7 linked regions of the Neurospora crassa OR74A genome follow. The protein of the gene in region 5 interacts with the protein of the main gene of each other region in a pairwise test. Links are inferred from orthologs where the notes say so. Each region holds a gene or a part of one and is shown on either strand. Other genes may lie near its edges.

Region 1 (4,042 bases), on a different chromosome or scaffold from region 5:
GAATCTAGGCCATGGGGAAGATGGAGACCTTGATGGACCCATGGACCCTGTCTCACTTGGCAGCACAGTCCAAGACGTGAACTGTTCTTTTAGTGCCTTATAGAACAAAACACGAGAGAAAAAATACAAGACATCTTACTCAGAGTGAAGAGACCGGATACTATATGTAGATCACCGCTCAGAATTAAATGGTTAACCGTGAAAGGAAACATGCAATACCACAGCCATGAATCTGCGTCTAATCATCCAAGCCCAATCCGTCCACCTGGCCCAAAAACAGCCCCTGCTCGCCCTTCAGCAGCTCACTAACATCCAGTCCAGTGAGGTACCTCTCGCTGACGCCCGTGTTGATCCTCTTGCTCAAGAGGTCTCTCAACGCAGCCCTCAGCGACGCCAACTCGCCCTTGCTCATCTGCTGTGCCTCCTTCTGCTTCTGCTTCTTGGAGCTACCCTTGCCACCCCACTTGCCCGCCTTCTCAAGCTCTTCCGAGTCATAGTCGACGCCCAAGTCCTCTGCCGCCTTCTTCATCCAATCGTCCTCTTTTCCACCCATGGTCTTGGCCTGCACCGCATCCGCGATCTTCTTGGCCAAGTCGACGCGCTCCCGCAACTTGGCGACGATGCGCCGGTCGATATCGATGGTGCGAAGTCCGCTCGAAACGAGCTTCTTGGTGTTGTTGCCCGAGTTGCCGGCCTTGACCTCGGCCTGGGCGTGCACCTTGGCAACGAGGCGCTGCGTCGGCACGGCTTCTTTGGGCCCGCAGAGCAGGATGCTCGTGCCCGAGTTGGAGGCACGGGCGGTACGGCCGGAGCGGTGCACGTAGTCCTCGGCGGCGCGCGGGACGTGGTAGTGGATGACGAGGTCGACGTCGGGGATATCGAGACCACGGGCAGCAACATCGGTAGCGACCAGGATAGCTGCAGAACCGTTCTTTTTCTTTGCGCCTTCGTTGGCCTTGAAGCGGTCGATAGAGCGCAGACGGGCTTGCTGGATCATGCCCGAGTGGAGAGGGAAGGCTGGAAGATTGAGGTTCTCGAGGAGGGGGGTTAGGCGACGGACAGAGTTGACCGAGTTGGTGAATACAAGCGCGCGCCGTGTGGGCTGGAGCATGAGAGTGGCATAGAGGTAGAGATCCTTCTCCATGTCGCCGCACATAATGAGACCCTCCTTGAGGTTCTCGGCCATTTGGTGGACGGGATTGGCGTCGACAAACTTGGGGGTTTCGCGGAAGTTCAGCTTCTGGAGAAGATACTCCATGTCCTGGGTGCTCGTCGCCTTGAACTTGGATTTTCCGGCCAACTTTTGCTGCAAGTTCTTGTTGAACGTGGCGGAGAAAATGAGAGTCTGCCTCTTGTTGACGTGCTCTTCCTCCTCCTCCTCCTCCTCCTCGCTGTCCTCTTCTTCCTCTTCCTGTCCCTCCTCATCAGTACCGCCCATCTTCTGATCCTCATTGTTCTCTTCCACCGGTGGCCTGTCAAGAGCCTTGAAAATCTCCTCGGCCTCCTTGAAGTGACCGTCCTTAAGAAGTCTATCTGCCTCATCCAACACGAGGAAGGAGATGTTCCTCAGAGAAGCGAGCACAGAGTTATCTGAGCTCATAACCTCCCACATTCTGCCCGGGGTCGCAATGACGATATCGGCGACCTGGAGCTGTCGTTTTTGCTTCTGTACGGCCATGCCACCAAGAACCGAGCAAATGTAAGGTGCTGTAGGAAGACCTTTGCAAAGCGCTTGAAGATGGTCTCTGATCTGCTGGGCAAGTTCTCTGGTGGGTGACAAAATCAGCGCTGTAGCGCCCTTTCTCTCTTCCTTGTTCTGCTTCCTCGTCTCAGCAGCGCTCAACCAGCTTTCGATGACGGGAATTCCGAATGCCAACGTCTTTCCCGAACCGGTGGATGCTTTTCCGATAACGTCGTGACCAGCCATGATCTCGGGAATAGCCTTGGACTGAATCACGGTGGGCTTGGAGAACCTGAGTTTGGCGATGGACGAGATCATACGAGGTGACAAATCGAGTGGCACCCATTCGGACATATCAATTTCCTCCTCTTCAGGCTCAGGAAGCTCCTCCAGTTTGGTGAAAAGATCGGTTTCTAGTTCGGGGTCCTTCGGCTCGACAGTAGTTTTCTCGTTCTTGCGGGCCTTCTTCTTGTCCTCGGCGTTCTTCTTATTCGCTGCCTTATTTGGCTGCTCCTTCTTTGGCTGTTGCTTTTGCTGCTTTTGCTGCTTTTGCTGCTCCTTTGGCTTCCTCTGGTCCTTGGAGGCCTTCTTTTCCTTGGCTGGAGTACTCGCAGCTTCGGCCTTGGTTTCTGATGTCTTGACTTCCTGGTCCGCATTTCCAGCAGGTTTCGGTGTCTCTTCGTCGTCGAAACCACCAAACTCTTCGCCGTCATCTTCTACCTCTGCCTCCGACTTGGGGACCGCAGCCATCTAAAGACATATGTGAGTTCATTCATGTCCTGTCGCTGTCATCATCCATGACCCAACTTACGAACTTGACAACATCGCCATCCTTTACAATGTCAACACCGGTAATTTCCTCCAAACCAAAGAAACCCTCCGCATCATCGAACATTTCAGGAATGTCGACCGTCTTCCATGCCAGCGCATCAACGGAAACAGGTCGCTTGATCTGCTTAGACGACGGTTGCGTCTTGCGGCGCTTTGGCCCGCTGGCGGGGGCTTTTGTGTTCTTGCGCTTCTTATCGACGGCCATGGTGTGAATATGTCGTCGTTTTCGGGTGGAAAAGGGTGTCGGGTTTGAGTGCTTGAGGTTGTTGGATGCACTGATGAACTTTGATTTGAAGGGTGTTGTTGACACTGCTCAGTGAAAATGGCTGTAAAAGTGAAATGGAAATTTTGGCTCCACCTTGCAGCTGGGTTGCAGCAGCCTCTAGCTGGAACAGGCTAGCCCATGTGCTGTAAATGACACCGCCTACCTATTCCAGGTCTGGCTAACAAGCTTGTAGTGTAGAGGGTGCCGACAGAATAGGACGTGGAAACAATCAGTCTGACTTTGATGGAGGAAACAAAACATGAGACGACATCTTATGATTCAAAGCTTTCGTTTATCGCCAAAGTCCTTCCCTCCAAGTATGCGCGTCTATGGTGTGCGAGTGCTGGGGCCGCCAAGGTGCTCGATAATTATGCCGGCAGAATCCTTTTTGGCGGTGACTATTTGCAGCAGACGGACCCAAATCGGCGCCCAGCGACAGCGACCCGTCACCAGGCAAAAGTGGGGCCCAGTCTCTTTCACAAGCTCCCGTCATTCACTCTCGTCACCCACTCGCGGCACTTCATTATTCGACACAAGTAAGTGAGAGCGAAGCATTCAAAATGGGGAAATCATCAAAAGACAAGCGTGATGCCTACTATCGCCTTGCAAAGGAGCAAGGATGGCGTGCCAGAAGTGCCTTCAAGCTTCTTCAACTAGACGAAGGTAAGAACTGTTTATTGCATATGTAATGTAAAGAAGTGTATCACCGCTAACACCGAGCGTTCCCATCAGAATTCAACTTGTTTGAAAATGTCACTCGTGTGGTCGATCTCTGCGCTGCCCCCGGTTCCTGGTCTCAGGTTCTATCGAGGGTTCTCATCAAGGGAGAGAAGTTCGGCCGGTGTGCTTGGCAAGACCGTGAGGCCAAGTTCCGCCAACAGATGCTCAACGTCTTTCCCGAGAAGCAAGACGCTCAGGATGAGGTTCAGAGGGTGCAGGCGACTCAGGAGAGCACGCCGGCTCCCAGGGAACAGGTCAAGATTGTGTCCATCGACTTGCAGCCCATCAGCCCTCTGCCAGGAATCATCACTCTCCGAGCCGACATCACACATCCCGCCACCGTTCCGCTTTTGCTTAAGGCGTTGGACCCCGATTTCGACCCAAGCACCATGAACCCGCAAGCCTCACACCCAGTGGATCTGGTCATCAGCGATGGTGCGCCCGACGTCACAGGCCTGCATGATCTTGACATCTACGTCCAGTCACAGCTCCTCTTCGCAGCCCTCAACCTCGCCCTCTGCGTCCTCAAGCCTGGCGGCAAGTTC
Region 2 (3,610 bases), on a different chromosome or scaffold from region 5:
ACGCTCCTATGCAGAGATCATGGCAAGGGCCCAGGCCAATCAGCCCATGCTGTCATCCGTTGGAAAGATTCAGCACAAGAAGGTGGAGAAGCAGTTGACGCTGAAGGAACGCAAGGAATTAAAGGCCGAGGAAGCGAAAAAGGGCAAGAAGGATGTAAGGCCACCGACTACCGGGAGGAGCGGTGTGACAGCTGGGCCAACCCGCAATGGTACCAACGGCACGACTGCGAACCGTCAGCGGAGTATCACCCCCTCAGCCCCGGCTGGCGCCAAGTCCAAGACAGGCCAAAATGCCGTGGAGGAGAAGAAGGTAAAGAAGGCTGCTTTAGCGACGACTGGATACCAAGGCACGGCACGTCCCCGCCCAGGGGCCACCACCACAAAACCAGGAGCATCCACCTCGGCAGGCGCAAGTAGGGGCCGTGGGCTGTCCGGTTATGGCGCCTCATTCTCACGTCCCCGGAGACGCGAGGAGGAGGATGAAGAGTTGGACGATTTCATCGAGTACGACGAAGATGAGGACGATGGCTACGGCTATGGTCGTCGCGGTGGTTACGAGTCACTGGAAGAGGATGACTCAGACATGGAGGCGGGATTGTCCGACATCGACGCGGAGGAACGCCGGGCAGAGTTGCAGGCTCGCAGAGAAGACATGGAGCAGGAGGCGCTGGAGAAGAGGTTGAAGCGCGAGAAGGAGGAAAGAAAGCGGGCAGCACTTGCAAAACTCAAGTCCAGAGCCGGAGACCGCTGATATGTCGTGGTTGCGTGGCGTGTCTCCTTCTTTCTTTTGCCTCTAAATTGGGAAGGTTTCGGCGCATCGTGATAATTTCAAGGCAGGAATTCGTTTTCTGGAGACGGTTTTGCAATGGCGTTGGCTGGAAGACAGGACGGACACCCAGAAACATTTTGCATCAGCGTCTGGAGTTTAGTCATTTTGCACGGATTCCGGTTTCATTGGCGGGCGTTGGCTGGCAATAGAGCCCGTCGGACGAATTATAGTATAGGTTGTCATGACACGGTGTAGCATATCTAGATATCTTAACACCCCCAAGCATACCACGTCTTTGGGTTTTGCCTTTGTTGACATACCTACTGTGCTCGTTGAAGCGGGTTATGCGAGCCACACAACTAGTGTCCCTTGGTAATAACCTAGTTGCAGGAGCCATTCTACGAATGGTAAGGTGATCTCCGGATCTATACAAAAGTTGTCCACTGGCCTTCCATCAAGGTTCTCGTCCTCAACGGGCGGCTCTGGCTGCCGCGGTGCACTTCCAATGCCCTGCAGCTGGCAGGCACCTTCATCCGAACCCACTCCACGTTTTCCTGGACATGCTGTTAAGTAGATATCAACCAATGACAGGTGATGAAGCTGCCCCACTATGTCCACCTCTTTACGGGTCTCCGCCACTGGAGGAGCCGCCCGATAAGGAAAGCTAGCCTTGAATGGTTTTTTTATCGGCTTCAAGACGTCCGTTCAGCAGGCATTCGCATAGGTAGAGGTACTGAAGCATATTGACCTAAACCGCATCGTCATTCTCGTCGCCCTTCGTCGCCCTACAACATCTGAAGGCCAGATTGCGTCGCCACATATCTTGAACCGCAAGACCCTCAAAGGGCCTAAAACACCAATATGGTACGGATATCATTTCTTCGAATTGCCCTCCCAATCCACAGCCACTCTCCTCAACATCATGACCCCTTCCGATCACTTGAGAGCAGACCATGCTAACCGACGTTTTCCTGAATACAGCCTCAGAACGAATACATCGGTATAGTTCCCTTCGCACTCGATCTTGATTACCGTCGACCTGTTTCCAGTCCCTAACCAATTATTTCGTTTCGCAGAACGCGCCCAGAAGCTTCACGGTAAGCGTCTGGACACCGAGGAGCGCGCACGCAAGAAGGCTGCCCGTGAGGGTCACAAGCAGAGCGAGAATGCACAGAACTTGCGTGGCCTGAGGGCCAAGCTCTTTGCCAAGGAGCGTCATGCCCAGAAGATCCAGATGCGCAAGGCCATCAAGCAGCACGAGGAGCGCAATGTCAAGGGCGCCCCCGAGGAGAAGGACCCTTCGAACCCCGTTCCCGCTTATCTGCTCGACCGTTCGAACCCCACGAGTGCGAAGGCTTTGAGGTACGTCACTTGAATGGGAGGACACATGAGAAGCGAACGGCCGCGGCGGAGGTGGAGGCCAATGTGAATGCAATGATGGCAGTAGTCATGGAGGTTGGAAAGGGTCCCATACGATGACGAGAGACTGACCGTTTTCTTCGTGCAGTTCCCAGATCAAGAGCAAGCGTGCCGAGAAGGCCGCTCGTTTCTCGGTCCCTATTCCCAAGGTCAAGGGTATCAGCGAAGAGGAGCTTTTCAAGGTCGTCAAGACGGGCAAGAAGGTGCACAAGAAGGGCTGGAAGCGCGTCGTCACCAAGCCAACATTCGTCGGACCCGATTTCACCAGACGCCCAGTCAAGTACGAACGCTTCATCCGGCCCATGGGTCTCCGTTACAAGAAGGCCAACGTCACCCACCCTACCCTCAATGTCACGGTTCAGCTCCCCATTCTCGGCGTCAAGAAGAACCCCAGCAACCCCCTTTATACCCAGCTTGGTGTTCTGTCCAAGGGTACTATTATCGAGGTCAACGTTTCCGATCTTGGTATGGTCACCGCGTCGGGCAAAATTGCCTGGGGTCGTTATGCGCAGATCACCAACAACCCTGAGGTATGACCAGCACAACCCCGCCTCTTAACTTTACATGGACGAACTGCTAATACTTAACTTCCACCAGAACGACGGATGCTTGAACGCTGTGCTCCTGGTTTAAGCGCAAGAGTGAAGAGGGTGATGGTTTGATTTGTCTAATTATATGTCTAGTCTCTTGGGCGGCAACTGTAACGGGATTGCGTTAAATCTGATTTTGCATCTGGGACTGGCGTCTGGTGTTTTGAAAGAGGATCGACACTCACGGCCGCGCAAAATATCTCGTCCGGGGGTTCACTTAGGTAGTATAGTGGTTAAGATACACACACAATCTGCGGTAGAACATTATACCCTCCGATCATTTGTTTTGGTTGATTGTATCACCTGATGGTTTAGAAGACATGGATTAATACGATAAGACACATAGATATATCTTCTCTGGTTGCTGCTGCGCTTGATCTAGGTTGACTCCCATGGGTTTCGAGCAGACTATGCTGGCAAGCGATTAACCTTACAAAGGTCTAAATGGCTGTATGGAACCCTGCATCCTGAGTCGATGGAAATTTGCTGGTCGATTTGACATGCAACACCGCAAGCAACTAACGCAAGGGCAACACATTGACTTCTACATCAGCTCAGAGCATCTAGCTTGTCTTCTGTATCTTGATTTTAGAAGGAGAGCAGTTCCGAGCTTCATCACTCCAGGGTCAACCCAGCCTCCAAGAATCAAAAGCAGGTATTTTCTATCCAGACCGACGAGTAACTTCTGTACTCTTCAAGCCCACTTGCCACCACTCAACGGTCAACGAAACGCTGATACCGTACCAACGAAGAGCTACTCGAAGCGATATAAAGAAGCGATTTGCCCATGTCTCGGGATCCTAGCTTTAATGGCCCCGGGAAAGCGCAGGAA
Region 3 (4,276 bases), on a different chromosome or scaffold from region 5:
TTATAAATAGAAAGGGTAAAATGAAGGGATGTACTAGTATGAGGGTAAAAGAGTAAAGGGGGGAAAGAATAAGGAGAATCCTTTAGAAATTGGGCAGCTAGCTATACTATTTGGAGGGTTTCTAGTACCCCTAACAGCTCTAATAAGGGGTATTAGGTACATTTGACACCCCTTATTAGCTCCCTCGAGGGGTCCCTGGCAATTGTAAATTTATATAGCGAGCCGGCTAACGGCTAGCACTTAGCAGCTAGTAGGTATACTATACTAAAATAATACATATAGTGAAATTCCTAGTATTTGTTAAGTATTTGCATTTATTAGGTCTAGCATTTACGAGGCACATTACTATAAATAGAAGTGTCCGGTGAGTGGGATTCATTAGTAAATCCAATATATACCCCACGGGCACTAAACTCCTAGTTGTAGGTCCTTCTACAAGTTAATACTAGTTTGTTTGTTAGTTTGGTTCTTTAGCTATACGTTGAATAGGAGAAATTGTTTAAAGCTTCTATTAGCCTTTAAAGAGAGAAAAGGGCCTCTGTTGGAAGCGTTATATAATAATAGCCAGGGTGGAAAATGCTATGGAAGCCTTCTTATACCCCTCTTTGTCTCATTTAGGACCTCCAAGACTGGAAGATATGAGAGAGTAGTCCCCTTTTAGTACCTGTCTGAATGAGGTTCAAACGTTTTTCCTACCCTCGACATTTGGTAGCTGGCTCTAGAGTAGAAATTGGCTTTTTTTTAGTACTAAACCTACAAACACACTAAAGTTAGATTGTACAATTCAATTCTAAATCAAATATTGAAAAAGTTTAATTGTACGGTCAATATTATCTATCCGTACGGTAATGAAAAATAGACTTTCATATTCTTTTTCTAACTTAATAGAGTTTAGTATTAACTTACCAAAATGCATTATATTTTTTCTGATCTTTTACTCTATCTAACACTCTTTTTGGAGTGACCAGACCTACCTAGTAGCCCTAGGAAACTCTCAAAGAAGATAGCTATTATAAATAAATAATTAATAAGATTTTAGATGAAAAAGGCTTAAGGGGTAGTTTTTCCATGATGCTTAGGGATATAGATTTGGTACCTACCTTAAAAAATTCCTCAAAAATGAACGAATAGTTTGGTGCCACTTTCAGTTTCATTAGTCTCCGTTTTACTAAGTTATACTTAATAAAGCAAAAGTAGACCACCGTACGGATAGACAATATTAACTGTACGATTAGACTTTCTCCAAATATTACCCAGCGTAGGACTTAACACTTTTAGCACTATTTCAGGCTTGCATCGCCAAACTCCACCGAATGAAACTTGATAAGAAAAAGTGTCAATCGAAGTACCGCGCCAATGATGAACCAGCCGAGGTTTGGAGAGTACTGCATAGTACATAGAGATTTGTCAGTGTACTGTGTACATCTGTACCTCCACTTGCTCCACTCTTCCTGCAAGACGCACGAGGGTCCGCTAGGTGCATGATCCAAGCATTTTTTTTTCCAACCCTTCCTCGTAGATGGTTTATTTTGCATCACCAACAGCCAACCTCGAGACACATTGTGCCGGCCCGCTGTCCATTGATTTCGGCAACGACGGATTTAGGAGATATGGGCTCATCCAAGTCACCGAGGCAAAGAAAGAGGAAAGGCATGGGGCCGGCTTTCGACGAAGCAGCAGCACTTGCTCAACTGACCGAAAAGATCGACCAAACTCTCGCTGGCGTCGGCACTGACCAACACGCGTCACCAAATCGCAAGAGACCGAACACCACAGCTGATGATCGAGATGCAAAGAGGCGCCAGAAATCTCTACTGGGCACTGAAGAAGGACAAGAGGACCGTTCCAGCAAAGACCAGTCCCACAATGCAACAAAGGAGGTTCTGCTGGAGGAAATTTTGGCCTTGGGCGGAGACGAGGATGATCTTGAGCTTGTCGCCAATGTTGATTCCGACAATGAAGAGGGACCTGGCATGAAATCTGCGTCGGCGCCCGAAAAATCCCTGGATAAGTCATTTCATGAGGAACTGACAAAGTTCGCCTTGAGCCTGGGCTTCCAGAACATACCCCGCGAGGATGACCTTGAAAGCGTGTCGTCTGAAAACCCCGTCGACGAGGAACAAGACGAAGAAGACGACGAAGAAGAGGACGACGACGCGGAACAAACAAAACAGGATGACAGCCAGGATCAGGAACAGCCTCTAGCCATTTCTGCCACAGTAAAAAGTGAGAGCACAACTACGACCGCCCAAGACACCCTGCGCGGGAAGAAAGGCAAGAACAAGCTGGTTAGTTCGACGCTCTCGCTGCCGCAGACTTACCTGGCGGTATGCTAACTTGAGTAGGGTTTTGAGCCCAGACCTGACTGGCATGCTCTCGACCTCGAGGGCCTACCTGCCTTCACACCATCTGCCGACGTTAGGCAATATTCTTCAGCGATTGCCAACCTCAAAGCTTACGCGGACGCTCTCTTGAAGGAGGACGCGGCAAGATACAACGCCCTCCAGGCCTCCAGCTCCACTCAGAAGTTCATGTCGACCATTATGTCTTCCGGCACCTTATCCGACAAGGTATCTGCCTTAACCTTGTCGATACAAGAGTCTCCTCTCCACAACCAGAAAGCCTTTGAAACCCTGATCGGGTTGGCCGGCAAGAAAAGCCGTAGTCAGGCACTCGCTGCCCTGGGCGCTCTAGTGGATCTGCTGGGCAATGGCACAGTTCTGCCAAGTAATCGCCGGCTTCGTCCGTTCAACATGCAACCCGCCTTGCTGGCCGCTTTACAAGATCAAGCTGTGCTGCATTGGGTTCAGGGCCAGAAGCTCCCAGCCAAGCTAACTGATTCTTACCTGATGATGTGGGCATACGAGGATTGGCTCAAAGCAGCGTATTTTCGCATTGTCCAGCTCCTCGAAATCTGGTCGACTGATCAGATTGAGCATTCGAGAATGCGCGCGCTGGAATTTGTTTTCACATTGCTCCGGGACAAGCCGGAACAAGAGGCCAATTTGTTGCGACTTCTTGTTAACAAACTCGGTGATCGCGAACGGAAAATTGCATCTCGGGCGTCATACCTCCTCTTGCAGTTGCTCAACATTCACCCTGCGATGAAAAGCATTGTCATCAGCACGGTAGAGCAAGAGGTTTTGCTCAAGCCAGGCCAAGGTCTGCGCACCAAATACTACGCCATCATCACCCTGAATCAAACCATCTTGAGCACCAAAGAGCCCGCTATAGCCAACACGCTACTCCGAATCTACTTCGAGGCTTTCCTTTCCCTCCTCAAAACTGGCTCATTGGGAAACCTGGAAGCGCTAAATTCCGAGGACAAATCTGGCGGCAGCAACAGGAAAGCTAAGAAGGGCAAGCGAAATCACACCGAGGCTTCTGCCAACGAGCAGGATACGACACAAAAACTCGTATCCGCACTGCTTACTGGTGTCAATCGTGCGGTACCCTTCACTACCGCCGACGATGAGACCATGGAAAAACATCTCGATACCTTGTTTCGCATCACGCACTCGTCGAACTTCAACACCAGCGTGCAAGCACTCATGCTCATTCAACAGCTCGCCGTGACCAAACATCTCGCTGTTGACCGATTTTATCGGACATTGTACGAATCATTATTGGATCCCAGACTCATCACGTCATCGAAGCAAGCATTGTACATGAATCTACTTTTTCGAGCCCTGAAGAATGATGCCGACGTGCGGAGAGTGAAGGCTTTTGTCAAGAGATTGGTTCAGGTGCTTAACCTGCATCAGCCGTCCTTCGCATGCGGGGTGCTATATCTGATTTCCGAGCTGGAGAACATGTTTCCTGACCTTCATTCGTTGCTTACTGTTCCCGAGGAGAATGAAGATGATGGCGTGGAGGCTTACAAGGATGTCAATGATGATGCGGCTCTGCAGCGCAGTCTCTTGCGTGAAGACGCACCAACTTCCCGTCGTGCCACAGGATATGATGGACGAAAGAGAAATCCCGAGCATAGCAATGCGCACAGAAGCTGCTTGTGGGAATTGGTAAGTGCCTATTTGAACTCTGATTGCATGTGAAACCAGTTTACTAACCTCAAAACCACCAGGCTCCTCTTCTATCTCATTTCCATCCATCCGTACACGTTTATGCCAGTAACCTTCTCGTCCGTCAAAAGGGCCTGCCGAAGCCGGATTTGGCCAACCACAGCCTCATGCATTTCCTGGACAAGTTTGTCTACCGCAACCCCAAGATTACCGAGACCAAGCGCGGAAGCTCAATCATGCAGCCGGTCCTCGCT
Region 4 (4,145 bases), on a different chromosome or scaffold from region 5:
CTTCAATTTCTCGGACTTACATGATTCTCTGATGTGTATATGTATAAGCACCTTGTCCCATAAAACAGCGACCAAGTCGCGACCCAAAGCTTTGCGTGTAAACACCCCCATTCCTCTAAACCCAAGAAAAATGGCTTCCTTCGATTCGTTGTAAGCTCCGCTACTGCATCGTTGATGAACACATCTTGCAATTGCCGTAGTTGAATATTGCTGCGCATGCTCATATGAAAGAGCATTGCAGGTTCTTCTTGCTCAGCCAATAGGCTTCAACTTCTTTTTCTTTTTCTTATCCGAATCCCCAGACTTGCCCTTTTGAAACGCGCGCCAACTATCGATGCGCTGGTCTCTCGTCTTTTCCCAGTCCTCTTCGTGCTGCCTCTTGCGCTTGCGCTGCTCAGCCTCCTCGTCAGCTTTCCGCTGCTCGCGGCCTTCCTCCTGCATCTGCGCCTTGAGCTGTCTGCGTCGTCGCTGCTCGTTCTCGATCAGCACAAACTTGGTCTTTTCCTGCCACTTCTTTTCAAACTCGGCCGTCTTGAGCTCAGGGCTGTCGACCGTCCATTTGTTCTCGCGGATCAGCAGCATGCGCGCGTCCGCGATAGCTTCGTCTAGGTTCTTGCGGTGCTTCTCCTCCATTAGCTCCGTTTGCGCCTTCTTCAGTCTATCGAACGCCTCAGGCGCCAAGGGGTTTTTGGTCTTGTCGGGATGGATCAGCAGGGACTTTTTGCGGTAAGCAATCTTGATGTCGGATTCGGTCACGCCGGGCTTGAGGCCGAGGACTGAGTAGGCGTCGAGCCGGAAGGCTTTCAAGATACGGTCGATCTCGGCATCCTGTCGGAATTTAGATTGTCAGCAACTACTGAGTTGGGGATGTAAATGTTGGTATAGTTGGGCGTGGTTGTTGTCTGGCTTGCCTTCTCCCACTCCTTGGCTTCAGATTCCAGCACTTCAAGCGCATCCCGAGTGTCGGCAGGAGTTTCGTCTTTGACGTCTTTAACGTCCTTCACGTCCTTAGTGTCTGTCGCCATATTGTCGCCGGAATGGAGGGTCAATCTGGATGCTTGTTTGATCAATTACAAAGGGTTGATGGATAAGTAAGTTCGGTCTACCAAACGGAACGCAACTCCGGGGAAGTTTAGGGAAGTTCAGTAGTTGCGACTTGCGACACCTCCAGGAGCGCGGAAAGCACAGCTAACGCACGCCAGCGCTGCCAAGGCAAACCCACGGGCATGCAATGGGTGTACTTGATAAGCTGATAATGGATAAATGTCACATTGGCCCCACTAAAAAGTCGACCATCCAAAATTTACGGGTGACGGGCAGGCATTGATGGCTACAGTAGACAAGAGACCCCAAGACCCCATCATCATCACCAACCTAAACTCCAACCCACCCCGTCCGTCTTTGCATCTTCAATTAGCGATTCGTGCTGCAATTGGCAGCAACACAACCCTCGCTCACCATGCCTAGACGCGCAGCGTCCCCCACACCGTCCGAGAACGAGGTTGACATCGCGGGTGCTTTGTTCAACAACGACAGCGACTTCGAAGACAACAGCAGCAAGCACCACACCAAGAAGGGAGCTGTTACGAACAGCGGGCTTGACCTCGATTTCAACGATCTTCTCGGTAACGGCGATGATGGACTACCTAGCTTTAATGGCGAGGGCGATGATGACGAAGCCTTTATCGCTTCGCTCACACGGAGCTCGCAGAGAAAGTCCTCCAACATTCAGGGCAAATCAGTCAAGAAGGGTGGAGGTTTCCAGGCAATGGGTGCGTAGTCTTCCGTCCCATGGCATAAGTTGATGATGCTTGGGGCAGCTGCTGATACTCTCCTAGGTCTAAACGCCCATCTCCTCCGAGCGATTACCAGAAAAGGCTTCTCCGTCCCGACCCCCATTCAGCGCAAAGCGATCCCCCTGATTTTAGAAAGAAAAGATGTGGTCGGCATGGCCAGAACCGGTTCCGGAAAGACTGCAGCTTTCGTTATCCCCATGATTGAGAGGTTGAAGGGGCACAGTCCACGTGTTGGCTCGAGGGCGCTCATCATGTCTCCCTCGCGTGAACTTGCGTTGCAGACCCTCAAGGTCGTCAAGGAACTCGGCAGAGGTACCGATCTAAAGACCGTATTGCTCGTCGGTGGTGACAGCCTAGAAGAACAGTTTGGTATGATGGCGTCGAATCCCGATATTATCATCGCCACACCCGGTCGTTTCCTCCATCTCAAGGTTGAAATGAACCTCTCTTTGGCCTCCATCAAATACGTTGTCTTCGATGAAGCTGATCGCCTCTTCGAAATGGGTTTCGCTACTGAGTTGACCGAAATTCTTCACGCCCTCCCTCCTTCCAGACAGACGCTTCTTTTCTCTGCGACGCTCCCATCGTCCTTGGTCGAATTCGCCAGAGCCGGTCTTCAAGAGCCAAGCCTTGTCAGGTTGGATGCCGAAACCAAGGTGTCACCCGACCTCGAGAGTGCTTTCTTCGCAGTAAAGGGAGGTGAGAAGGAGGGTGCCCTTCTCCATCTTCTCCACGACGTCATCAAGGTCCCGCTGGGTCCGCCCGAGGGCACAAAGGAAGAGAGTGACGAATTGCAGGCGAGGAAAAGGAAACGCGAGTACAGGCCCAATCCTAAGGAGAAGCCGACGGAATACTCGACCATCATCTTCACAGCAACGAAACATCACGTCGAGTACATTGCGAACCTGTTGAAACTCGCAGGCTTTGCCGTGTCCTACGTTTACGGTTCGCTTGACCAGACGGCCCGTTTGATCCAAGTTGACAACTTCCGTCGGGGAAGAACACATATTCTCGTGGTTACCGATGTCGCCGCCCGTGGTATTGATATGCCTGCTCTCGCCAACGTCATCAACTACGATTTCCCATCTCAGCCCAAGATCTTTGTCCATCGTGTTGGTCGTACAGCTCGTGCGGGTCAGCGTGGTTGGGCCTATGGTTTGGTCCGTCAGTCAGACGTACCATATCTACTTGATCTACAGCTCTTCCTGGGAAGGAAACTTATTATCGGCCACGATCAGAAGAACCCTTCCTTCGCGGCAGACGTCGTAGTTGGAACACTAAAGAGAGATGGAGTGGATGTTAACATTGAGTGGGTTGAGAAGGCGCTCAAGGAGAGTGCCGATCTCAAGGCGCTGAAGGGTGTTGCCGCAAAGGCCGAGAAGCTCTACATGAAGACGAGGAATTCTGCGTCGAGCCAGAGCGCAAAGAGAGCCCGCGAAGTTACGCAGTCCAGGGGCTGGACACAGCTCCATCCTTTGTTTGGAGAAGAAGCCGCTGAAGCCCAGGCAGCTCGCGATGATCTTCTCAGCAGGATAAACCGCTTCAAGCCCCAGGAAACCATCTTTGAACTTGGCCCTAAGGGCAAGTCTAGCCGCAATAAGGCCGCGGAAGTTGTACGAAACATGCGTTCCAGATTCAAGGAGCGCAAGACTACCAACGACGAGGATGATGAGGACGTGGACATGGAAGATGCCGAGGGTAAACCTGACGGCGAGGAGACCAATGCGTTCGAAGACTTTGAGGATGAGGAAGAGGAGGGAGAGGCGGAAGAGGCAGAAGAGGCGGAAGCCAAGGAAGACCCATACGCCGACGACTCGGATTCGGAGATGGAGGTTACAGTATCCAGCAGCATGCATACGAAGAAGAAGGGTGGCCCGGTCAACTTCCAAGACCCCGAGATCTTCATGTCCTACACGCCTCGCACCACTAGCCTTGCGGAGGAGAAGGCTTACGGTGTTCACTCGGGCGGCTACAGCGGCAACAGCTTCGTCGAGGCCGCTCGCGACGCTACCATGGACCTGACCAACGACGAGAGTGCCAAGAACTTCGGTCTGCCCACGAAATCCAAGATGCGTTGGGACAAGCGTCACAGCAAGTACGTGGCGGTCGCCAACGATGAGGACGGCTCCAAGGGCGCCAAGATGATTCGTGGCGAGTCCGGTGTCAAGATTGCCGCCTCGTTCAAGAGCGGCCGCTTCGACCGGTGGCGCAAGGATAACCGTCTCGGCAAGTTGCCCACGATTGGCGAGACGGAGAAGTCGCAGCTCATCCGCAACTTCGGAGCCCAACCTGGCCAACCGCGGTACAAGCACAAGATGGAGAAGGCGCCCAAGGATGCGGACAAGTTCA
Region 5 (4,007 bases):
CCCTCGAACTGGTTGCCAGCCAAGCGTCCAAGACCCAGCACAGCCTGTGCCCGGACCATGGCCTCCTTGTCGCGAATCCTCCTAAGTAGACTTGACCGTAGCTTCTGGAAGAGGTCGTCGTCAATCGCGTCGAGGGAGTTGATGATATGAGATATGAGTTGCGTTGACCGATAGCGCACAAACTTGTCCTTGGCGATCATCAAGGGAAGAACGGTTTCCATCAAGTGTCCGGTAAGCCGGGTGCTGGGTGTCTCGGGCATGGTGCTGGCGTCCGGGTCGGCCTCGCCGAGAATTTCGTTATCCTTCTCGACGGCATGCCGCAGGAACAGACCGATGAAGCGCACCGTCTTCTCGCCGACTCCCTCGCTCTTCTTGATGGGCATGACGCGCAGGACACAGCGTACAAACTCCTTGTTGAAGTCATCTTCCTCGAACTCGTCGGCCTCGGCGGGCTTCTTCGTACTCGTCGGCTCGTAGCAGCATGCTTCTTGTATCTTGCGCAGGGTCACGGCCAGCTTGCGATGGGATGCCGTGGTCTTTTGGGCGTCGCCGAAGACGGTCGCGACTTGTGTGCGTAGCGCATTGTCGGGAGTATCCAAGGGTGCTTCTGGTACGACCGAGGTCTGGCGCGCCCCGCGTGTCGCTCTCGTCGATCTGCCCGGCGCCATGGTCGGCAATGACTGTTGGTATTAGCGGGGCCTGCACAGCGGCAGTCCTCTATTTGTATGCGATATGGAAAAGGTACAAGTAATCCAAGCCCAAGATATAAGAAAACAAGCAAAAAAAAAAGACGGATGTGAGGTTTCGTAGGATGGCTTTTGCAACTGAGCAGGAGCCGGGGATGAATGAAAGTGACACTATTCGCGAATGAAGGTTGTTTTGTTTACTTTGCACTGCAGGTGGGCTGCTGTGAATTTCCTGGCGGCCCCGTCGTCACCTAGCGGGAGGGACTGTCTGACCTGCTGCAGAGGGGTCGCGCTGCTCGCTGCGCTGTATGTCGCAAAACGTATCGACCCTGCTGGTGAGCTTGAATGGTCTGTGCGCCCCGCCTTTCCTTTGGTGTGGATTGTGGAAGCGCGCGAAGAGAGGAAGTGGAAGAGACGGGCTCAGGATCCCGCTGCCAAGCTTGAGGGAAACGATAAGCTCCCTTGTACGCTCTTATCGGGACTCCACTTCGAATATTTTTCTTTGGGCGAAGGGTCCAGAACTGTTGTCGCTGGGGGAAGCTGTGCACTCGGCGATTCCCATCCACCATTTGCGCCTTGAGAGGGTCTGTTCTCTTCACTTTTGGTTTGATTTGGCTGCTTTCTCATCTCTCCCCTTCTTTCAACAACAACACCACCTAACAAACACATAACATAACAACCCGATTGCTTGCAATAATGGGCAAGGACGGGAACAAGAAGCGCCAACGCGAGGTGGACGAGGAGATCCCAGTTGATCCCGATGCCATCAAGGATTCCGATGTTGCTGCACAGAACCCCCCAAGCAAGAAAGCTAGAGTTGAATCCAACCGCTCTCTCTTCATCCGACAGCTGCCTCCAAGTGCCACCGCCGAGTCTCTGACCGAGTTCTTCTCCCAACATTTCCCTGTGAAGCATGCCACCGTCGTCCTCGATCCCAAGACCAAGACCTCGCGCGGCTATGGTTTCGTCACCTTCACCGATCCCGAGGATACCCTCGAGGCCAAGGCCAAGCTCAACAACTACCTGCTTGAAGGGAAGCGCCTGAAGCTCGACATTGCCGAAGCCAGACACCGTGATGCCAAGAAGACCGGACCCGTTGTGTCCAAGGTCGCCGAGGAGAAGCAGAAACGTGCCGAAGCCGTCGCCGAGGCCCAGAAACCCAACAAACTCATCATCCGCAACCTGCCATGGAGCATCAAGAAGCCTGAGCAGTTGGCCGAGCTATTCAAGCCATATGGTAAGGTCAGGTTCGCCGACTTGCCCAACGATAAGGGCAAGCTCTCTGGTTTCGGTTTCGTCACCCTCCGTGGTCGCAAGAATGCCGAAAAGGCTATCGAGGCCGTCAATGGCATGGAGGTCGATGGCCGCCCATTGGCCGTCGACTGGGCCGTGGATAAGCAGACATGGGCCCAGCAGAACGGCGAAAAGTCAGACGACAAGAAGGAGAAAAAGGACAAGAAGGTTAAGGAACCCAAGGACAAGAAGACAGAGGAGGAGGAGACTGCTGGCATGACACAGGAGGAAAAGGATCTTTACAACTTCTTCAAGAGCCAAGGCGAGAACCTCGAGAGTGAAGACGAGGAGGACGAAGACAAGGACAAGGAGGACGAGGATGAAGACGATGAGGACAAGGACGAAGATGATATCGAGGAGGACGAGGAGGACGAGGAGGATGAGGAGGAGGAACAGAAGCCCAAGCGGCTAACCGACAACTCTCTAACACTCTTCATTCGCAACCTACCATACACCACCACCGATGAGCAGCTGAAGGCGCACTTTACCCAGTTCGGCGGCATCAGATACGCCCGAGTTGTCAAGGACAAGGCCACCGACAGGCCAGCCGGTACCGGTTTCGTGTGCTTTTTCAACGAGGAGGAGATGAAGGCCTGCCTCAAGGGCGCCCCCCGCCATCAACCTACCACCACACTCGTCAAGCACTCCATCCTTCAAGACGAGACCGTCGATCCGGAGGGCAAGTACACGCTCGACGGGCGCATCCTTCAAGTCGCCCACGCCGTCTCCAAGGACGAAGCCGAGCGTCTCGCGGAGGCCTCGGCCGGTAAGAAGGACAAGGACAAGAGACGCCTGTACCTCCTGAACGAGGGCCAAATCACACCCTCGTCTACGCTCTTCAAGGTCCTTACCCCGGCCGAAATCAAGATGCGCGAAGCGTCGGCCAACCAGCGCAAGAAGCTGATCCAGTCCAACCCGTCGCTGCACCTGTCGCTCACCCGTCTCGCGCTGCGCAACCTGCCGCGCAACATCGGGTCCAAGGAGCTCAAGGCGCTCGCGCGCCAGGCCGTCGTCGGCTTCGCCAAGGACGTCAAGGAAGGCAAGCGCGCGCCCATCTCCAAGGAAGAAAACTCGCGCGGTGGTGAGCAAGACAAGGAGAACGAGCGCCTCCGGAAGCTCAAGGGCAAGGGTGTCGTCAAGCAGGCCAAGATCGTGTTCGAGACGACCACGGGCACCAAGGTGGACGAAAAGGTCGGTGGCGGCAAGTCGCGTGGCTACGGCTTTATCGAGTACTCGTCGCACCGCTGGGCGCTCATGGGCCTGCGCTACCTGAACGGGTTTGCCGTCAAGAACGAGCTGGGCAAGACGCAAAGGCTGATTGTCGAGTTCGCGATCGAGAACGCGAACGTGGTGCAGCGGAGGAGACAGGATGAGGAGAAGCAAAGGACGATGACGCCCGCGGAAAGGAAGGCGGAGATGGAGGAAAAGAAGAGATCCAAGGAGGCCAAGGAGGCATACAAGGCTGGAAGGAAGGCGGATAGGAAGAAGGGCGCTAAGCCTGAGAAGCCTGCTGGGTGGAACAAGGGCAAGGATAAGAAGGGCCCGGCTGAGGTGGCCAAGGCCGCAGGCGCCGCCCCGGCGAAGGAGGTGAAGGCTGAAGATATCAAGGTGGATAAGAAGGGCAAGAAGAGTGAGATGGTCAAGGAGGCCCTCATGACCAAGATCCTGGCGAGAAAGAGGCAACAGAGGAAAAAGAAGGCTAACATTAGGGGCAAGAAATAAGCCTGGGCTCTTGGAGTTTACCTAATGTAGGGAGAGAGTGTGTGTTTTTCTGCTGCTGGCCCGGAATGTTAAACCATTTATGTTATTCTTAGGGCCTTTCCTGTTTGCTATCTAAGTATACCTTTATCACGATCAAAAGCAATCCCTTAGCGTTTTCCAACACCTCTCAGTCTATTTCCGCCGTGGACACTCGTGAACTCTTTCGCTGGCAGTTCTTAACCAAGACAACGCTCAATAATATTGTACGCCCTCTACATGCTATTATTATATAATAGAACGCCTGTTTGCCTGCTTTGTTTTTCTCGC
Region 6 (4,195 bases), on a different chromosome or scaffold from region 5:
CGCTTTCGGGGTTCGTCGAAATGACCTCAATGTCGACGACAGGCACGTCATCGGCTGAGAGCTTTTCGGGAAAGGTATTTGACTCAGTCCGCCTTTTGAACGGTTGGCTGAGATCTTGTTGCTCGGTGACTGAGGAGCGTTTCCGCTTTAGGATATCATGTCGGGGTGATAGTGTGAGGATCTTTTCAGGCGAGGCGGAAACTATTTGTACTTTCTTCGCCAGCACGGGAGATCGCGCAGGTGGTAGTTTGGCAGCAAATTCAGGCTCTTCGTCACTCAGGTCTTCCGAGGCCTCTTCGTCACCCACTTCTGCTTCTTCTGAGGGAGTGTTTCGCCCGCTGGCAGTGTTTTCCGGTTCGTAATCAGATTTGATTTGCTGCTGAAGCTTGCTAGGGCTGCGCTCGAACGTCCGATCGCGGCGGTCGGTGAATTGTCGAGTGCCAGGCTCACCCGCGGTGTCTACGATGTCGCGCGATACTCGATCTTTCGGTGGTGTGTCGTAGAGCCTCTCTGTCTCTGCCTCGGAGTCATTAATATCCACGTCCGACAGCTTGCTCTCGTCGTCAGTCTCAGCGCCAAGGTCCGAGTCGACGCCATCGCGATTGTCAGTTCGGACCGATGTCTCGCGATGTTGAGAGTGGTTACTGTTCATGTCCAAATCCATGTCGTCAGGATCTCCATGCTTGTCTTCCACGTCACTAAGTGGGCTTGACACATCGCTAGGGCTGTGTTGGAGCAGAGGCGGAGGGGGGCTCGAGAGAGCCAAGGACAGCGCGGTGTCACCGGTAGCCATCGCGGATCATAGAATCCGACGAGATTGAAACTAAGCAACGACGCGCCAATGTTGGGTTGAGCAGCTGAGCAGTGGAAAGTTGGACGGCCACGTAGAATTTAGTCGTGGACGGCGGACTGGACGTCCGAACTGTACGGGCAGCTCAAGAGCAGCACCTGAAGTTGTGGCGCCACGATCAGGGTAAAGTGTGTTTATGCCGGAAGGTTAAAATGTGTGCTCGCACACAATGAAATGTCTCGGAGATATGGCTTTGTTGTCGGTACGAGGGCGCGATTGTCAAGAGATAACGTGCGGTCTGGGTAGGTAAAGTAGTAGGAAGACAGATCGGGAGAGTGAGGAGCGGGCAGTAGGTATCTGGTTGACGACCTAGACTGGGAGCTGGACAAGCGCCCACAGCACCGCACCAGCACGCAACACAAATGGGCAACCGGCAGGTTTCTGGGGGGCTCCATTGCCTGCCCGCTTGCCTGCCGCCGCCGCCCGTCTCCAACAGCCCAGCGCACCACACAAAGGCGATGGCAGGCGGTGAGTCTTGGCAGCTTTGATAACAACTGATAAGCGAGTTTTTTTTTTTAATGGGAGGATGCAAGATGTTCCACGGTCCTCGACTCGTCCTTACGATGCGCAGTGGGGAAGGTAGAAACGACGACCCTTTGAAACCCTGGACCATTGAACCTGCCTGCATAGAAACTGGTCTTGCCTTGTACAACATCCTGCTAGAAATCAGAAGTGGAAGCTTTGCAATTCGATTTTGACAGCATTTACAGCCAATCACATCTTTCGCCTCGTCGTCGAACTTCAGTTGTTTTTCCGTGCTCTTAGAACTAAGTCAATCACAAGTGCTTGATTGGCGAATCGTGCCACTTTCCCATCCATTGCGCTTACACACGACGGAAAACTCACAATGGGTAAAACGTGCGAACAGCCCTACGCTACAGTCAACGCCATTCTTCCAGTATTCTGACACCACTATTATAGTAAAGGACTCGTTGCGCCGGTGAAGAAGGTTGATCCTAGCTTGGATGCTTTGTTTGCTACCAGTGTAAGTCATCTCGCTCTGACCAGACAGGCAATTGGAAGTTTACATGGCTAATCTTGTGTAGGTTGGTCCAGCGAAGCCCCGCCCAGCTGCAAAATACTCCGAGCCCCTACCGACAAAGTCCAAGAAGGCGCCAGTACCTTCCAAGAAAGAGGAAGACGTTCAGGACGAGGGCGATGACGAGGAACTGAGCGAGCTTGACGAAGAATACGATTCCGAGGTCGGCATTGGAGAGGATGACGAAGACGACGAGGCTGAAGACAACAGTGACAGCGAAGACGAAGCCGTCGCGACCCTCGAAGTTGTTGTAGAACAAGGAAAGGTCCCGGAAGAAGATGGACCGAAACGGAAGCGGAAGCAACCCGACCAGCACGACAATCTCGAACACAAATACCTGTCCAAGTTGGCGGAGGACGATGAAGAGCCGGCTGGCAAGCGTCTCAAGGCCGACGAGCAATCCGGAGAAAAGAAGGATACCGCCAAGGCCGAGAAGAAGGACGACGACGACAGCGAGTCTGCGGATGAGGTCCCCGTTCACGAATCGCTAGCGCCCGATGCTGCCCAGAACGAGATTGAGAAGGCCAACCGCACCGTCTTCCTCAGCAATGTCGCCGTCGAGGCCGTCACCTCTCGTTCGGCCAAAAAGGCCTTGATGAAGCATATGGCTTCAGTGTTGGACAAGGAGGCGAAACCTGCGCAAAAGGTTGAGTCGATACGGTTCCGCTCGACTGCCTTCGCTACCGCTGCCATTCCCAAGCGTGCCGCTTATATCAAGAAGTCCGTGATGGAGGCCACTACGAAGTCGACAAACGCCTATGTTGTCTACAGTACCCCTGCGGCCGCTCGTCTTGCCTGCTCGAAACTCAACGGCACAATCGTGTTGGATCGCCACATCCGTGTCGACAGCGTTGCCCATCCTGCCCCGGTAGACCACAAGCGCTGCGTCTTCGTCGGTAACCTTGGTTTTGTGGATGACGAGACAGTACTGCAAGTGAAGGTAGACGAAGACGGTAAGGAGGTGACCGAGAAGAAGAAGCGGACAAAGCAGCCTATGGACGTTGAGGAAGGTCTCTGGCGGGTATTCGGTAAAGAGGGCGGCAAAGTTGAGAGCGTTCGTGTGGTCCGCGACCCTGTCACCCGTGTCGGCAAGGGCTTCGCCTACGTTCAGTTCTGCGTGAGTTATCACTTCTCTCTGTCTCTTACTTGCCCGTTATCAACTAACAACTCTGTTCCCCCTCCGTAGGATGAAAACGCCGTCGAGTCAGCCATCCTCCTCAACGGCAAGAAATTCCCGCCCATGCTCCCCCGCGAGCTACGCGTCAGCCGCTGCAAGGCCCCTCACAAGACCCTGCGTGCCATCGAAGCCAAGAAGCTCAAGGCGCAGGGTGCCGTTCCGGAAACTATGAAGAAAGGCAACAACGGGAAGAAGGGTCCTGGCTCCAAGAAATCCGACTACGCCCCCAAGATCTCCGCCGAAGCCAAGACCATCGCCGGCCGCGCTGAGAAGCTCCTCGGCAAGTTCACTGCCAGACAGGTCATCGGCTCCGACAAGAAGAAGACTTTCAACAAGCAGGACAGATACCAGGCCAACCAAAGGAGGAATCACGCCTCGGGCGCCAACACGGAGGCGACCGGTCCCAGAGTCCCGGGCGCCTACAAGTCCCCCGAGAGTTTCATTCTCGAGGGTAAGCGTGCTAGTGCGGCAGACGGAAAACCTAAGGATCTCAAGTTCAAGGGCGCCAAGAAGAACAAGGCGCCGAATGCGGGTGGTGGTAAGAAGAAGACTGGTCGTGCTGCTGCGAGGGCTTCGAAGTGGAAGGTTCAAGGGAAGGGGAAGAAATAAGTGCTAGGCCATTTGCCTGATGTTTAGGGTTGTTTGCTGGTATAGAGCCAACGGGCAGCAGCCGGCGTGGTGCGGGTGCGCGCGTTTCATCCGGCGCGGCCCGTGGATTTTCAAGCTTCAAGAAAAGGGGCAGAATTCGAAAGTGAACAGAAGCCTTCGATTCATGACGCGCGCATGTATGGATAGGATAGGATAGGCTGTAATGCAGTCATCGCATATGAAGGTATCTCAACGGACTGTCCCCAACCGCGTGATACTTCGCAATGACGGGAATGTGGAGGAAGAGCCTTGGCGCCCAGAACTAGGTACATATGTAGTTGTCTGAAATTGCAGTATAACCGTGGAACGACTGTTAAGCCTGGCTCCGTGGTTCTTGCGACAGGGAATCGCAAACAATACAAAAATTAACAACACGGCCACATTGAAAGAAAATAAAAAAGAAACAACGTGTAAAGCCTTCAAGTGCACCATACCAACTTTCTACATGATGTCTCGTGGAATTGTGGGTGAGCTGTGTAGG
Region 7 (3,135 bases), on a different chromosome or scaffold from region 5:
CAACCTGCATCAGGGGTAAATTCCCTAGGTATACATTCGCCAATTCGCAACATGTATCTGGTTTTCCATTCTTCACTTCAACTCTACGCCGTCGCTATAGCGAAATGATGGCAGCCGAACATGCGCGCAAAGTACCACGGTAAACGACATCACATGGTATCATTGCACTTCTATATCCAAACCTATAACTAACTCCCTTCCCACTTCCTTATACGCTGAGCGTTCCCTTGGTGCTAGGAACTTCACCCTCGCGACCCGCCACCCGGCTAGTAGCCTGCCTCGTGGCAACCGCAAGCGCCTTGAATGCGCTCTCAGCTCTGTGGTGGTCGTTGTCGCCGCGGAGGCAGTCGACGTGCACGGTAATGCGGGCAGCCCCGGCAAAGCTATGGATACAGTGGGGGATCATCTCGGTGCTGAGATCGCCAATCTTCTCGCGCTTAAGACCGAGGTCGACAACGGCAAAGGGACGGTTCGACAGATCGACGACGGCACGGCTGAGGGCCTCGTCGAGAGGGCAGTATGCGGATCCGAAGCGCGCGAGGCCGGTGGGTGTGCCGAGAGCCTTGGCAAAGGCGTAACCAAGAGCGATGCAGACGTCTTCGGCGGTATGGTGGTCGTCGACTATGAGAGGGACAAAGTCAATTCAGAGTTCTGGATGTTGTTCCACGAGGACTTCTGCGCCCAAGCCAAGTGTGTCTACTAACTGTGAAGGTCGCCCTTGCAAGCAAGCGCAAGACTCCAGCCGGCATGCTTGGCAAGCGCATGGAGCATGTGGTCAAGGAAACCAATGCCGGTATTGACGCTGATAGTTTGCGATTTGCTAGCCTGAGTGGCATGGCCGTCGGCGATACTGACGTTCAAGCGGGCGTCGGTCTCGGGAGGGAATGCGCCGCCATCAAGGTTGAGTGCGATCTGGATCTTGGTCTCGTTGGTGTCGCGTGCAAAGGCGGCCCAGCGGGGCGCGGGCTGTTCGGTGCTCATTTTGTCTGAATAGGGCGTCTGAGACTTCTGGGGACTGTAGACTCTTGGGATATCACCACGGCAGTGTGATCAATTGCGATGTAAGGATGGCGACAATAAAGGTGATCTTGGAAATTTTGGCGATTTCGGAGTGCCACCAGTGAGGGAACGCACCGATAGGCAATCGATATGGAATAGGTACCTCCACTAGTGCTGCCAACCCCGCGCTTACACTAGAAGGAAACTAGAGTTTCCTGCTCGCCTGCCGATCCCCAGCTGCCAATTAGAGATTTCAAGGCAGCCCCACGGCGAGCTGACAGACCCCACTGCCCCGTAACCGCGCTCAGCAGGCGTTGATACAGTGCTATATGCACAAGCTCTAGAGGTACCTTGGATTAACCGCGATAAGATAAGGCAGGGACCAATTCCGGTCCCAAAATTTTCCCCAGAAGTCGACCGAACTGAAGCGACAGCGTACAGGATACATTCGAGAGTATTCGTACTCCATCCACCCATCCATATCCCGAACCACCATTTCATCTATCGTTGATTTCTTACGACCTTATCAACGAATCAACCACAACTCACAATGGCGCCGACAAAAACGATAAAGAACAAGCACGCTGCGAACAAATCCGGCATCAAGGGCAGCAAAGATGCGGAGAGGTCGAGGAACGATGGAGTGCTCAAGTCCAAGGGAAAGCCGAAGGGCAAAGCTCACACTCTCGTGACTGCCAGCAAGGGCCGACCGAACATCCAGGAGCTTATCGCCAGGAAGAAGAAGAAGAAGACCTACAGCGAAAAGGAGCTTGCGATTCCGGAACTCAACATGATCACCCCCGTTGGTGTGACCAAGCCAAAGGGAAAGAAGAAGGGCAAGGTGTTTGTGGATGACAAGGTAAGCTGTCTTTCGTTAGCGTCTGGGGTCATATTGGTTTTTTGTTTTCTTGCTAGGTTTCAAGACCGGAAAGCATCAAGTAACTGACATGTTTTCCCCCTTTGTACAGGAGAGCATGGCCACTATCCTAGCCATCGTACAAGCAGAAAAGGAGGGCCAGATCGAGTCCAAGATGATCAAGGCGCGACAAATGGAGGAGATCCGCGAGGCGAGACGCGCTGAAGCCGAGAAGAAGGAGGCTGAGCGCAAGGCCAGACTCGAAGAGACTAAGGACTCGCTGCGCAAGAAGCGTAAGCGCAGCAAGCAATCGGGCGGTAGCAAGGGCGACGACGACGATGACTCCAGAGATGTCAAGGAGTTCTCGTCTGCGGGCACGAAAGCCGTTAAGTCGAAAAAGAAGAAGTCGGTATCCTTCGCTGCTCCCGAATAAATAATCAAGCAAGGATGCTGGGAGCTTTGAAGGTCCCTCCTGGGAATGGGCTGGGAGAATGAAGACAGGAAGGGTGGAAGTTTGTCGTGTAATACCTACACCAAGCATTTTTTCTTCGCATGTATGGCGTCTGGGCGTTTATATCAATCAAAGTCTGGCGGCGGGTAGGATGGCTTGGCTGGGGGAACAGTTCTGACTGATTTTGTGTGTGGAAATTAAAGATACCAATTGGGCACGCCAGCCTTGGTCCAGCCTCTTTTTCTCATGAGTCGGTAGATGTTATTAGGTGAAACCGTCAGGATGGTGTAGTTCGTGGCTCGCATAAGCCATCAATGAACGTACGTTCGAACCTGTATCCAAGTCGAAAGCGCGAATCTAAGTCTATGTGCAGCCCCAATGTGCCTTGAAGCGCGTCTAGACCCTTTAGGCCCAATCGATGGACCCATCTCTATAGCTAATCTATGTACAGTCTTCGTTCTTTTCAAGTGTTCATTCCACCACCATCTATTGATCCACATCGAGAATCTGCAACTTTCGCTGCACAGGGTCGAAGTGAGTTCTGAACTGGCTATCGAACTTGTCACAAGCATCCGGCTTGATGGCGTCCAAGTCAATATCGAAAGCCATCTTGTTCAGGAAGTTGCAGATCTAGACAACAAATCAGCAAAAAGTTACCGGAAAGTGAGGCAAAAAGAAACTTACAGGACGAGTATGCCATCGTCCGCCACCAAGTTCGAACCATGAAAGATGTCCGCCGAGAGACGTGAGGCAAAGTACCGTGTAGGGGTTCTGCTTGATCTCTTGGTAGGGAATGGCCTCCTCAACAGCGATCTAGTAATTTGTCAGC

The links.
Region 1: the proteins of NCU06217 (region 5) and NCU04041 interact in binary tests that used the Saccharomyces cerevisiae proteins (3 or more experiments, as listed by UniProt). The link is inferred for Neurospora crassa OR74A from reciprocal best matches to the Saccharomyces cerevisiae genes NOP4 and MAK5.
Region 2: the proteins of NCU06217 (region 5) and NCU00981 interact in binary tests that used the Saccharomyces cerevisiae proteins (3 or more experiments, as listed by UniProt). The link is inferred for Neurospora crassa OR74A from reciprocal best matches to the Saccharomyces cerevisiae genes NOP4 and NSA2.
Region 3: the proteins of NCU06217 (region 5) and NCU09894 interact in binary tests that used the Saccharomyces cerevisiae proteins (3 or more experiments, as listed by UniProt). The link is inferred for Neurospora crassa OR74A from reciprocal best matches to the Saccharomyces cerevisiae genes NOP4 and MAK21.
Region 4: the proteins of NCU06217 (region 5) and NCU07712 interact in binary tests that used the Saccharomyces cerevisiae proteins (3 or more experiments, as listed by UniProt). The link is inferred for Neurospora crassa OR74A from reciprocal best matches to the Saccharomyces cerevisiae genes NOP4 and DBP10.
Region 6: the proteins of NCU06217 (region 5) and NCU09131 interact in binary tests that used the Saccharomyces cerevisiae proteins (3 or more experiments, as listed by UniProt). The link is inferred for Neurospora crassa OR74A from reciprocal best matches to the Saccharomyces cerevisiae genes NOP4 and NOP12.
Region 7: the proteins of NCU06217 (region 5) and NCU01301 interact in binary tests that used the Saccharomyces cerevisiae proteins (3 or more experiments, as listed by UniProt). The link is inferred for Neurospora crassa OR74A from reciprocal best matches to the Saccharomyces cerevisiae genes NOP4 and LOC1.

Annotation. Positions count from the first base shown.
Region 1 is NC_026506.1:2,535,164-2,539,205, reverse strand, and holds NCU04041 (ATP-dependent RNA helicase mak-5), read right to left. Parts: upstream 2,801-4,042; 5' UTR 2,718-2,800; coding exon 2,493-2,717; intron 2,432-2,492; coding exon 239-2,431; 3' UTR 103-238; downstream 1-102. Other genes in the region: NCU04040 (tRNA (uridine-2'-O-)-methyltransferase TRM7), read left to right, coding at 3,338-3,440, 3,510-4,042. UniProt on the Saccharomyces cerevisiae protein: ATP-binding RNA helicase involved in the biogenesis of 60S ribosomal subunits and is required for the normal formation of 25S and 5.8S rRNAs. Required for the maintenance of dsRNA killer plasmid.
Region 2 is NC_026501.1:6,508,714-6,512,323, reverse strand, and holds NCU00981 (ribosome biogenesis protein NSA2), read left to right. Parts: upstream 1-1,446; 5' UTR 1,447-1,630; coding exon 1,631-1,633; intron 1,634-1,750; coding exon 1,751-1,769; intron 1,770-1,845; coding exon 1,846-2,131; intron 2,132-2,276; coding exon 2,277-2,718; intron 2,719-2,785; coding exon 2,786-2,821; 3' UTR 2,822-3,110; downstream 3,111-3,610. Other genes in the region: NCU00980 (hypothetical protein), read left to right, coding at 1-751. UniProt on the Saccharomyces cerevisiae protein: Involved in the biogenesis of the 60S ribosomal subunit. May play a part in the quality control of pre-60S particles. Under normal, rapid growth conditions, high levels of NSA2 would allow the progression of pre-60S particles through the ITS2 processing.
Region 3 is NC_026501.1:3,985,411-3,989,686, forward strand, and holds the start of NCU09894 (CCAAT-box-binding transcription factor), read left to right. Parts: upstream 1-1,476; 5' UTR 1,477-1,481; coding exon 1,482-2,288; intron 2,289-2,345; coding exon 2,346-4,022; intron 4,023-4,084; coding exon 4,085-4,276.
Region 4 is NC_026504.1:2,109,850-2,113,994, forward strand, and holds the start of NCU07712 (ATP-dependent RNA helicase dbp-10), read left to right. Parts: upstream 1-1,345; 5' UTR 1,346-1,459; coding exon 1,460-1,772; intron 1,773-1,838; coding exon 1,839-4,145. Other genes in the region: NCU07713 (DnaJ domain-containing protein), read right to left, coding at 253-828, 912-1,025. UniProt on the Saccharomyces cerevisiae protein: ATP-binding RNA helicase involved in the biogenesis of 60S ribosomal subunits and is required for the normal formation of 25S and 5.8S rRNAs.
Region 5 is NC_026503.1:1,936,286-1,940,292, forward strand, and holds NCU06217 (nucleolar protein 4), read left to right. Parts: upstream 1-1,207; 5' UTR 1,208-1,382; coding exon 1,383-3,701; 3' UTR 3,702-3,865; downstream 3,866-4,007. Other genes in the region: NCU06216 (nuclear condensin complex subunit 3), read right to left, coding at 1-668. UniProt on the Saccharomyces cerevisiae protein: Required for 60S ribosomal subunit synthesis. Probably involved in the processing of 27S rRNA to produce mature 25S rRNA.
Region 6 is NC_026501.1:5,442,169-5,446,363, forward strand, and holds NCU09131 (nucleolar protein 12), read left to right. Parts: upstream 1-1,395; 5' UTR 1,396-1,697; coding exon 1,698-1,708; intron 1,709-1,771; coding exon 1,772-1,835; intron 1,836-1,896; coding exon 1,897-3,006; intron 3,007-3,075; coding exon 3,076-3,675; 3' UTR 3,676-4,131; downstream 4,132-4,195. Other genes in the region: NCU09130 (hypothetical protein), read right to left, coding at 1-793.
Region 7 is NC_026505.1:3,571,647-3,574,781, forward strand, and holds NCU01301 (60S ribosomal subunit assembly/export protein loc-1), read left to right. Parts: upstream 1-1,420; 5' UTR 1,421-1,549; coding exon 1,550-1,858; intron 1,859-1,967; coding exon 1,968-2,288; 3' UTR 2,289-2,635; downstream 2,636-3,135. Other genes in the region: NCU01300 (imidazoleglycerol-phosphate dehydratase), read right to left, coding at 209-621, 705-981; NCU01302 (hydrolase), read right to left, coding at 2,793-2,936, 2,991-3,119. UniProt on the Saccharomyces cerevisiae protein: Required for efficient assembly and nuclear export of the 60S ribosomal subunit. Involved in asymmetric localization of ASH1 mRNA.